Kluyveromyces lactis: one gene and its partners. The protein of the gene in region 3 interacts with the protein of the main gene of each other region in a pairwise test. Links are inferred from orthologs where the notes say so. Each region holds a gene or a part of one and is shown on either strand. Other genes may lie near its edges. The genes, in order: UTP4, UTP9 and UTP5.

The links.
Region 1: the proteins of UTP5 (region 3) and UTP4 interact in binary tests that used the Saccharomyces cerevisiae proteins (3 or more experiments, as listed by UniProt). The link is inferred for Kluyveromyces lactis from reciprocal best matches to the Saccharomyces cerevisiae genes UTP5 and UTP4.
Region 2: the proteins of UTP5 (region 3) and UTP9 interact in binary tests that used the Saccharomyces cerevisiae proteins (3 or more experiments, as listed by UniProt). The link is inferred for Kluyveromyces lactis from reciprocal best matches to the Saccharomyces cerevisiae genes UTP5 and UTP9.

The regions. Positions count from the first base shown.
Region 1 is NC_006040.1:1,131,838-1,135,597, forward strand, and holds UTP4 (small subunit rRNA maturation protein UTP4), read right to left. Parts: upstream 2,441-3,760; coding exon 230-2,440; downstream 1-229. Other genes in the region: KLLA0_D13200g (uncharacterized protein), read left to right, coding at 1-147; condensin subunit YCG1, read left to right, coding at 2,680-3,760. UniProt on the Saccharomyces cerevisiae protein: Involved in nucleolar processing of pre-18S ribosomal RNA. Required for optimal pre-ribosomal RNA transcription by RNA polymerase I together with a subset of U3 proteins required for transcription (t-UTPs).
Region 2 is NC_006038.1:376,576-380,174, forward strand, and holds UTP9 (Utp9p), read right to left. Parts: upstream 2,224-3,599; coding exon 604-2,223; downstream 1-603. Other genes in the region: XPT1 (xanthine phosphoribosyltransferase), read right to left, coding at 1-170; NMD5 (Nmd5p), read right to left, coding at 2,530-3,599. UniProt on the Saccharomyces cerevisiae protein: Involved in nucleolar processing of pre-18S ribosomal RNA. Required for optimal pre-ribosomal RNA transcription by RNA polymerase I together with a subset of U3 proteins required for transcription (t-UTPs).
Region 3 is NC_006039.1:579,286-582,894, forward strand, and holds UTP5 (Utp5p), read left to right. Parts: upstream 1-1,063; coding exon 1,064-2,959; downstream 2,960-3,609. UniProt on the Saccharomyces cerevisiae protein: Involved in nucleolar processing of pre-18S ribosomal RNA. Required for optimal pre-ribosomal RNA transcription by RNA polymerase I together with a subset of U3 proteins required for transcription (t-UTPs).

The DNA of each region.
Region 1 (3,760 bases), on a different chromosome or scaffold from region 3:
GTCTCAAAACAGGTCAATCAACTCTTGGGTGAGAAATTCACTATTCCTGATGTTGTAATCGACGTCTGGTCTGATAAAATGTTCGCTTGCAGTTCGCTCTTGACATTCATTGGTATTAAGGTAGCAGAAAGAACACTACACAGATGATATGCGGCGGAATGATGACCCTATGTTAAAAATCAATTTCGCGATGAAGATCGAGTTTATAATAATGTACAGAAATTATAAATTAGAATACTAACTTTTCTAATTCAAATGCAGGAGGTTGGGAGATCAAGAAGTTTGGTCTTTCCACAATGATTAATTGGTCACTTGCGATCTTTCCAGCGAATAATAGAGGTCTATACTTATCGGTATAGAAAAACGCCTTATCAGATCTCTTCTTGGAGGTGACATCTTGCGCTCTCTGAGTTTTTAAGAGATAATCTTCCTTAACTTCGAGTTCTTCATCGTCTTCATCATCCTCATCGACGTCTGCCTGTAGACCGTCAGTGGAAATAGTTAATCCGTCACGGTCACGCTTCTTTTGCTTCTTTCTTTTGCTAACTGGCAAGTCTAATGACATGTTGATGTTAACCAACCAGTTAGATCCCCAGAACCATACCTTATGCTCATCCATTTCATCTAAGAATATTCCTGTGCATCTCTCTTTCAAGGAAGTAAATTGCCTTGGGAGGTTTTCATGATTGGCTTTGAACCAGTCAGTGAGTAGTTGATCCTTCTCGGATTCCAAATTGAACTCGTATATTTTATTTTCTGATGTCACTACTACTACAGTCTCTCTTGGTGTGATGCACAGTGCAGTGATGAAGTTGTTCATGCGAATTAAAGCTTTACTACTGTTTGTTGTCAAATCTATTAAGTCTAGAGCACCGGTACCTCTAGACGCAACAGCGTAACGTTCATTTGCATCTAAATGGTTCACTGCATTCAAATATGATAGTTTATTGCTGGATTTCGTTGAGTTCGCTTCAGGTAACTCAATAGTTACGGTTTTTTCGTCGTCATCCTCTTCAAGGTCAATTCTAACTATTTCATCAGATTGTGAACACATTATTAACCTAGAATCATCAATGAACTTAGCAAATTTGCAACCAGTTCTCAACAAAAACTCATTGTCCAACTTTGTTACTTTCAATTTGTTGTCTGTTGGTTGTAAATGGAAAACTTTGGTAGTATTTAGTCTTCCCACTAATAAAACTTGTCCGTCAGTTGATAGTGCACAGGTTTGGATGTTTTGTTCATCCTTCAAAACCAATTTACTAACTAATTTGTAGTTCTTAGGCTCATTGACGTCTTCGCCAATATACCATATCTTCACGATATTATCCTGCCACATCACCAATAGTCTTTGTTGTTTGTTGACCAGGATGCTCTTATGGAATGGGGTAACTAGTGGCATCTTTCTATAATTTCCTTCAGCGAAAGAGGACATTGAGCACATGACAAGAGACTTTTCAATACCACCAGACACTAGGAAGTCGGATCCCATACATTGATAAGAGGACATAGATCTAACATCATTGGAATGGAATAATCTGTTTGAAGTACTGATCCATTTCATGCTCTTTCCTGTATCGATGTAAGAGAATTGGAAAATCTTTCTATCAACACCACTAGTGAACAATTGTGAATTATCCAGATCAGTAGCCAGACATAGAACATCGGCATCATGAACCTTGAAAGATTGAGTCAATGTTGCGTAGTTTAAGTCCCAGAATTTGACCGACCCAGTAGAATCACCAGACACAATTTGGTTCTGTTTAGCTAGATACAACACAGACCATACGAGTGTAGATTCTTTCTTCGATTTATCCACTTTCATAGTATGTAATAGTCTTCCCTTGTTTTCGTCTTGCTCCTTAGTATACCATATTCTAATCCTTCCATCAGAACAACCAGCGACCAAAGATTCATCATTGGCTGTCCATGTCAACGATAAGACACGAGATTCTTGCCTTGTAAGTATGCTCTCATGCTCAAGAACACCTTTACCACCACTGATGTTAATAAGTACTACACTGCCGTTATCACATCCGACCGCTAGCTTATTCATATCGTTGCTCATTGCAATGGACCAAATCACACCAGAGTTACAATCGTAATTTACTAACGGCAACCCGGTTGTCAAATCCCATTCTGTAACTACAGTGGAGCCACCGATCGAAAATAGTCTCAAAGGCTCTCCACGAATACTGCACCAGGAAAGACCTTCAATGGATCTTCCTTCACCTCCCAAGATCACGAACTCTTGTACCCAATCATCTCTTGGATTCCAGATCTCAATATTACCATTGGATCTACCAATAGCCAGTCTTAGCTCTTGCGGTGCCGCTTTATCAGTACTTTTGTGTGAAAATGCAAGAGCCGTTATATTACCAGGTGTAAACTGCACAAACCTGGATCGATGCACTACCTGTTTCTTCCCAGTATCAGTCATGATCAAATGTGTTCTATAAATTGAGGACCTTAAACCTGTATCAGAGAACAAAAGCTAATGTATTAGAATGAAACAAAAGATTGACAAACTGTAGGCTGATGTCAATCAAAAAACTTCACTGACTAGATAGAAATATACGACTTTGTTATCCGATGAGATGAGCTTCTGTTCTAAGCTTGTGTGCTCTTAACGCTGAAATTTTTCAAAAAGAAACTAGTTTAGCTTCAACACCGTACAGTATGATCATATCACGTGATATATTAGATCTATTGGGAAAACGAGATTTGTTTACAATTGGATCTTCTCTTCACATAAACAAACTAATAAACAAAGAGGAAAAGGAAAGTGGAAGAAACATCGGCGGCAACCTCATAGCAGCCTTTCCCTGGTGTATACTCGTGGTATTATTGACCAAAAGGGTGCAATTGTTTGATATGGATGTTCAGGATGGAGAATCTCCTACAAATCGTCGTGTTCTGAATTCTATAGCGGAGGTTTTCCAGGTGGCGCAGAAGAGTTATGCTGGTCACAGACGTCATGTAGCTGTCTTATACAGGATTTATTTGAAATGTGTGGAGCAAGAGATATCAGATGTGTTTCATTATTGGTTTATCAAAATGACTGTCAAAATCTTGCCGCTGAAGAAACAGGAAATCGTGGGGGATCGCATTGTTCGGTTGATTTCAGGGTTCATCGCAAATATAGAGTCGAATCTTAACAAGATGAGAACCGAAGATGGTAATGAGCAAAATGTGAGGAATTTGGAAGTACATTTCGGAGGATTTATTGATGGATTTGTGAGGAATCTGCTTCGAGGAGTGGAATCGAAAAATAAAAACGTACGATACAGAGTAATGCAACTTTTGGCCGCAACTATGGATAATATGGGAGAAATTGATGAGGAATTGTACGAGTTGATTATGTGGGTTTTGAAGCATAGGGTGTATGACAAGGAACCTCATGTTAGGATACAGGCGATATTTTGTTTGACAAAATTTCAAAACGATAACGTATCGATGATTAATGAATCAGAAACCGGAGTAAATTTCCAACTCGATGAAGCTACACAGAGTTTAATGCATATCATTAGGAATGATCCAAGTCCAGAAGTTCGGAGGGCAGCAATGTTGAATATTGTACGTTCGAAAGCGACCCAGAATGTTATCTTGGAACGGGTACGAGATGTTAATTTCATCAATAGAAGATTGGTGTTTACAAGAGTACTAAAGAGTTTGGGGAAGCATACGTTCGATGAGGTGGATTCTGATATTTTAGAGAAACTGATGACCTGGGGGTTTGAAGATAGAGATGAAACGGTTA
Region 2 (3,599 bases), on a different chromosome or scaffold from region 3:
GATCTGATTATCCTGGCTGGAATCATACCACCACCAGTAATAGCAATGATTACATCTGGTCTTTCACCTTTATTCATGATAGTTTTCGCTACATCTTGGCAAAGCTTATGAATATTATTGTACGAAATGTACATCTTGCTAGTATCAGCTCCAGAATCTTCCTGAGACATCTTTAAATTTCAGATAGGCTATCGACAATTTGGGTGGTTCGTATAGCGCTTGTCACTAACTATATTAGCGAAATGCAATGATACGAATACGCGAGGTGATAACTCAATGGTAATTCGGCTGAAGATGAGATACCAGTTCTTAAAAAGATGCGATGAGCTTTAAAACTTTTCGAAAAAAAAAAAAAGAAATCTTGTTATCTGAGATCAGCAAAGATTCCCATGTGATGAGATAAGCTACAACACAGCCAGTTGTAGCATAAGGATTTAGAACGTTATTCGCATAGGAATAGTGTAAATAGCGGCTCTAATAAGCGAGGGGAAAGTAAAGGTATTTGTATTTCCGCAATTCTTTGATGGTTTTTCTGGATGGAATTAGGATCTATATATGCGGTACTAGTTATAATGAAATACGTAGTATTGGTATCAACGGTTATTATTCGGAAGCGTCATTCAAATCATCAGCTTCTCCATTTTCATATACGAATTCTTGTTCGTCTTCCTGTTCTCTGTCTTGTATTTCATTAACGTCTTTGCCATTGATTTGCATGGATGCTAATTGTTTTCTCAAGAAAGATTGTCCGGAAAGCATTTCTAATTTACCTTGAATGGAAAGGAGAGTTGAGAGAGACTCCGAGCTGGTCCTTAAGGACGACCTTAGGCGTTTTGTCATTTTGTTTGTGTTTGAATTGATAACCTTGATTTGAGATCTACGAAGAGTTAATAGCCATTTGAGCCATACAGAGGCTTGGCCTGCTGAATCAACATTTGCTGATATATGTTGCGCAAGCACTTCAAACAACTTATTAGTACTGTCTTCGTTAAGATCATCTCTGACAAATAATTGGATGTTATTATCCGACCATGGTTGTTGTAAAAGAATTTCAAGAATTAATTCAGAATTCATATTGGCTTCTCCGAGAGCAGTGATTAGCTTCTGTACAGTTTCATTTTGTTCCTTTTTTGAAATTTTTCTATCAGATTCAGGTTCATCCTTGGCGACGATCTCGTCAGGGACCAGAGAAGCTTGTTTCTCGGTATCAACTAAATTGAACGCGAATTCATTTTGTTCATGCAGTTGAGATTCAGATATTACTTCGAACTTAGGCTCATTCACATCGATCCATGCTAGTACAATGTTATCATCTTTGATCTCAAAATCTAAAATTTCAGAGTTCTCGACTTTTATGCTTGCAAGCGGTTCTTCTGCATCTTTCAGTAAAACCTTCATTCTACCTGCAGTGTCCAATACTACGATATTATCATTAATTACTTTCACCTTCTCGGATTCAACATCCCATTGGCATAGTATTTTTTTCTCTGGTAAAGAGTAGAGGGAGACTTTTGATACATCGGCAATTACGACATGGTCTTGATCATATACTGTACATGAAATTGATCCGAAATTTTCAATCTTGCTGAACGTTGAAGGCCTTTTCTTAGATGGATCTACAAGATAAACGAACTCTTCTGTGATGACCGCCAGAAGTAGTTTTTGTGGGAAACTTAATACCTGGAAGTTGATGATATCTTCATTCTTACCATCCGTTAGATGGAACGTTTGTAACGGCTTTGTTGTAGCATAGTTGAACCTTTTCACAGTTTTATCGTCATCTAACAACCATATAACATCATCTTTCGAATCAATGCCTAGAATTTCTTTCTTGTTCTGTATGATATTAATGATCTCTTTACCATTAGCTGAATGCACAACAATCTTTCCACTAGGGAATACATTTATAAAATATTGCTCTAATGGAGAGTTCGCTATCTCTTCATCGGCTCTTCTTTTCACACTTCTCGTTTTACAGTTGTTCTCCGCGGAAGAATGGTTGCTACACCAGGTCAAAAGGTTCACTTCAGAGACTACTAAGTCATTGCTCTCATAATCAATTTGAAGAACCTGAGAACTGTTTATATGTAAGTTGCTCACGTCTTCTAGTGGATATAAGTCAATGGAGTTCTTTTGGGACCTATTGGATTGAAATGCGAAAAATGTTGCTCCTGGAGAGAAACTAGTAATGTAATCACCAGCTGAGTAACTAGATTCAACCATTCTATAAACTGGTTCAATATTTCTGTCGCTTCGCCTCAGAAGTTGCCGGTACTAATGGTAAAGTTACCTTTTGATCACATCGAACTCTTTACCTTCAATCTAGCTAGGCTATTAAGTGATGAGATGGATGGAAATTTTTCAGTAACGCCAGAAAAAGAAAAACTCTTACCCGGCTACAGGTAAATAGCAGCTGCTCGAATGGTCAGCACGTGAACTATTATGTCGGCGATGCAAAAGTAGATAAAGCTATATGTATATACATTCGAAATTAATACAACATTTGAATGACTGACAAGTCATTTCACCTTATGTTGTGTGCAAAGTTCTGAGAAAAGCTTGTTGGTCTTCTGAAGACATGCTACCAATGAAGTTTTGATACTTCTCTGGTTCAGTCTGCTCCAATCTTGAGAAAGTGTGTTGGAAAAGTTCATAGATGTTGACGTCATCGAGGATGGATCCAGATAATGGGTCTTCTTCAAGTTCATCCATATCATCTTGGTCAAGGAACTGGCCCGATTCATGGATTAGTTGTAGGCTTCCGGCTTCATTCTTCAAGAATTTTAGATATTCTTCAGCATCGCCAGCAGCATCTTCATCATCGTCTTCGAAGTCATTCCACTCATCGTTAAATCCATCAAACTTACTGAATGCATCACTTGAGAATTCTTGACGTTTATCCTGTAAGACCTTCAGTGCTGCAGGGAACTTGTTGAATAAATCATTCAACATTGGCCCCAATTTCAGATACACGGCCTCGATGTGTAACGAGACATACTCTTGCATGGGTACAAGTGTTAGAAGAGATAAGGTAGCCATGATCGACAACTTAATGTCAATGACTCTAGTAAACTTTGGGAGATAGAACTGGATCCAAATTTCAAGGAAAGTCGTAAGAAGCTGTTTGTGGTTTAGAAAGTTCAATGATTGTGATGGATAGTATACCATAGATGCTAGTATAACGTTGAATGCATTGACACCATAATTTAGATGAGTTTTCAAACTGTTTTTTTCCACTTCTATCGCTTCAGTTGTAGTAGTTAAAAATGTACTCAAAAATTGTTCTGGGATTTTGTCTCCGAATGCCAAAATCATCTTTTGTGCAAATTCAAACACGACGCACATTTCGTCTAGATCCTTGTCCTCGTTTTCATTTGCAGTAGCAGCTTGGAATATTTCAAATAGTATATTAGTGTAAAAAAGGTTTTGCTTCAATTCGTCCTTACCGTAAATTAAATAGTTAGAAATTGCCATCATAAAATCTTCCAAGTAGAAAGAAACCATACTGCCCTCTTTCCTATTGCAATCACCAATCAACTCTAACACTTTCCAAGAAATCGAAGAAACTTTACGCAGTAGAAATGTAGAATTCTCAACAA
Region 3 (3,609 bases):
TTTTTGGTTTTGCAAGCTTCCCTGAAAAAACTATAATACTCTCGAACTTAATTCTGTGCTGCAAGTCAATATACCAAACAAGCACTTCACGTAGTAATCAATTAGATAATTGGATGAACTTGAGATGATAACAGATTGTAAACAAATTTAACAATGTCAACTTTTGTTTTTAAATGCCTGGTATTACACTTTTTTGTCCTCCTTGAACTCTAGATCTGAATTATGTATAATAATATATACTAAAAAAATACTCATCGCTATTTCATTCACTATGCAAAAAAATGATATGGCTCGCCAAATTGGCACATTTTTTGATGCTTTATATATAAAACTACGAATCAAACTAAGAAGAAAAGTTGAAAATAAAAAAAAAAAAATTAAAACAACAACACACATCGCACACATCGCATCACCTATGCAAACAAGGGACAATAAGGGAATTCTGATTGGAAAATATATATATATAGATGTATATTCAAATTAGCAACAGGACAGAGACATATAAGTGTTGACCTTGGTTGTTAGGCAGGAGCTCTTTCCTTACTTGACGTAAATTCTTTATGTTGTGTTAATCACCCAGCTTCCTCTCATCACAGTAGAAATGCTAACTAGTGTTTGTTAGGAGATATGAAGTGTATAACTTGAAAGCAGGAAGGCAATGTTTGGAGGTTGTAAAATAAGATTGCAAAAGCTGAGTTAACGAACTCAGCTCAGTGGATGTATCCTGAAGAAAAGCCTTAAATTGGGGACCACTGGCTATATGCTCCAAATCACGTGAACAATATATGCTAACTTCTTATTACCCGGCACTTGTTTTTTGTAAGTAAATCTCACTTTTCTTTCTCCTTTCCAAGCTAAAGCTTTTCATTTGAAACTTTTCATAGCTCATCTCATCGCATCTCATCTGAGCTCATCGCACAGTATTTACTTTTGTGTACTTACTTCTTTCCTAAAGTGTTTCGATAAAACGTCTTGGGATATTAATTGAACAATCACCGGCTTTCGTACTGTTTAAGCTAGAGGTCTACACTCTACCACACGAATAACAATAGCAAGCTTAACGATGGCAACAGCTTCGCCAGTCGTATTATCACAATATGATCCAACCGGACAATATTTTGCATACGTTTCCACCGCTTTGGATAAACAGCGGGTATCAGTGGAGCCAACAACTGCCTCCAAATCTGGTTTAGTGAACGATAATTTTCTCTATTTGGAGGGGAAAGACGTCTGCTGTACATGCATACAATGGATTACTTACAATGACACACCATTGGTAGTTCTGGGTCTAAACCTAGGGGAAATATGGCTATACTCTCCTTTATCGAATGAAATAGTGGCGAAACTGAACACAGGATCAAGCTTAGCAGTTTTAGATTTCCAACTCTTTTCAAGCAAGGACAAGGCCTGGTGTTTGACTGGTGATGATACTATTTTTTTATTCGACATGGTATCACAGAATGTATCAAAAAAATTCAAAATTGATGAATGTAAGGACTTAAAAAAGCTATGCATAGTTGATAGCAATCGTATTCTTGTCGCTTCTCATCAAATTTACTTAATCGATGTCATTTCAAAGAAATTGTTGTTACAATACCCTGGCCATATTTCACCTGTGTCTTTCCTTCAAGTGACCACAGATGGAACAGCATTTTTGAGTGCATCTCAGGACGATAGATTTTTGAATATTTATGATTTGGACACTACCAAGACTAAGTCCGTCCTAGTAGCGGACTCGAACGTTATATCAATTTCGATATCTGAGGATTGGTCTCACGTGTCGGCAACAACAGAAGATGGGGATATTGCTATCTTTGAAGAACCTTTGGTATCAATCAATTCAGGGAATAAGAGACGTTCTGGTAAGATATCCAAACAAAAAAACAAAACTATAACTTTATTAAGGTCTAATTCCGCAACCAGATTGCCTATTATCAAAAGTTTTATCAACAAAGATCTAATTAATTTTTCGTGGTTAGAAAATGCAACCACACCTTACTTTGATCAAGTTCAATTAGGTAACCTAACGGATTCAGTCACCACTTTATCCAAGCCATTGCCATCTGCTAAATCTACACAAACCAGGAACAACCAAAACAGTGATATTTCTTCGGCAAAGCTCTACAAAGAGGGTAATGCAACGGTAACATCTGGTGATAACTTTAAGCATGTGGAATCCATTGTCCAAAGTTTAGATGATATAGAAGGAGAAGGGATTTCAGAAACTTTACAGGATAGACTAAATATAATTTCACCACCATCGAGAAAACCAAAGGAAAGGAGAAGAGCCAACGCTGGTACTTCTTCTGTTGTATTAGCTCAAGCATTAAAATCAAATGATCATGCTCTATTGGAAACAGTCCTTAACACACGCGACGAAAAAGTCATTCAAGCAACCATAACCAGGTTATCCCCCCAACTTGCTACGATTCTCTTGGAAAGACTCGCTGAACGTATCGCCAGACAAACTCATAGACAAGGTGCTTTGAACGTGTGGGTGAAATGGTGCCTAATAATTCACGGGGGTTACTTAGTTACCATTCCAAATTTGATAAATTCATTGTCATCGCTACATGCTACTTTGAGGAAACGAGCAGATCTCTTACCAACACTCATGGCATTGGATACACGTATTACACGTTCATTAGATGAATTGAACAGTAAGAGAGCCGTACAATACGGCAAGGATCAACTTGATTCTGAACTTGTCGCTCCATATCAGGATGACGAGTCGAACCAAAATGAAGATGAAGAGGAAGAAGTGGAATATATAGAAGAGCTAGACGATGCTGGATTAATAGACGATGGTGAAGACAGTGCAGAGTACTCTGAAGATGATGACGAACACAGCGAGGCTGATAATCAGGAACTTACATACACTGAAGAAGGATTTGACGACGATGACGAAATGAGGGTCGACGTTGAAGAAGGATACTCTGACGAAGAAGTTCAGCATTAGCGTACATAAAAGAAAAAATATAAAACGCTAACGCATTGAAAAATGCAGCTGCTATGTATCGACTTAGACCTGACATTCTTCCTCCATGCAGCTTTAAGCTTGATTGATCATTATGGCCGGGTAATGGAAACATCGGAGTTTGACTCTGTCTGTAAATAATCTAATTAAAAAAAACAATTGTTTGCTAGTGATGCTCTCAGAATTCAATTTAATCCAGAACCAAACAAGTTAAAAATTTAAAGCGTGGAACATGGAAAATGTAGAAGCGTTTAATGAGGTGTTCTGTGTTGGTTTAGAACGTGCATTTTTGGTAGACGGTCTATCCGGCTCGGAAATCCCGTTCTCGTAAACAATTTTAGAATTTCTCTACTGGTTGCAAGCACGTAGGTTCGTCTCGCGGTACGGGAGTTGATCTTGTCCATGGGATCAGTATCTATCGTTTCGTTTTGTTTTTTTTTATATCTTTGACAGATAAAGTATAAATGTGTCGTGTATTCTTTCGGCTCATCTTCCATTTGAACATTCGTTGAGTGTTCTTTGATCAGTAAATCTTTGATATACTTATTTAAAGAAGTGGCAACCACAGGTTACCCAAGTTAAAGTATCTCATAGCTTTTTTGCTGCAGGCACAGAGCAGGAGAGTTTTTCTA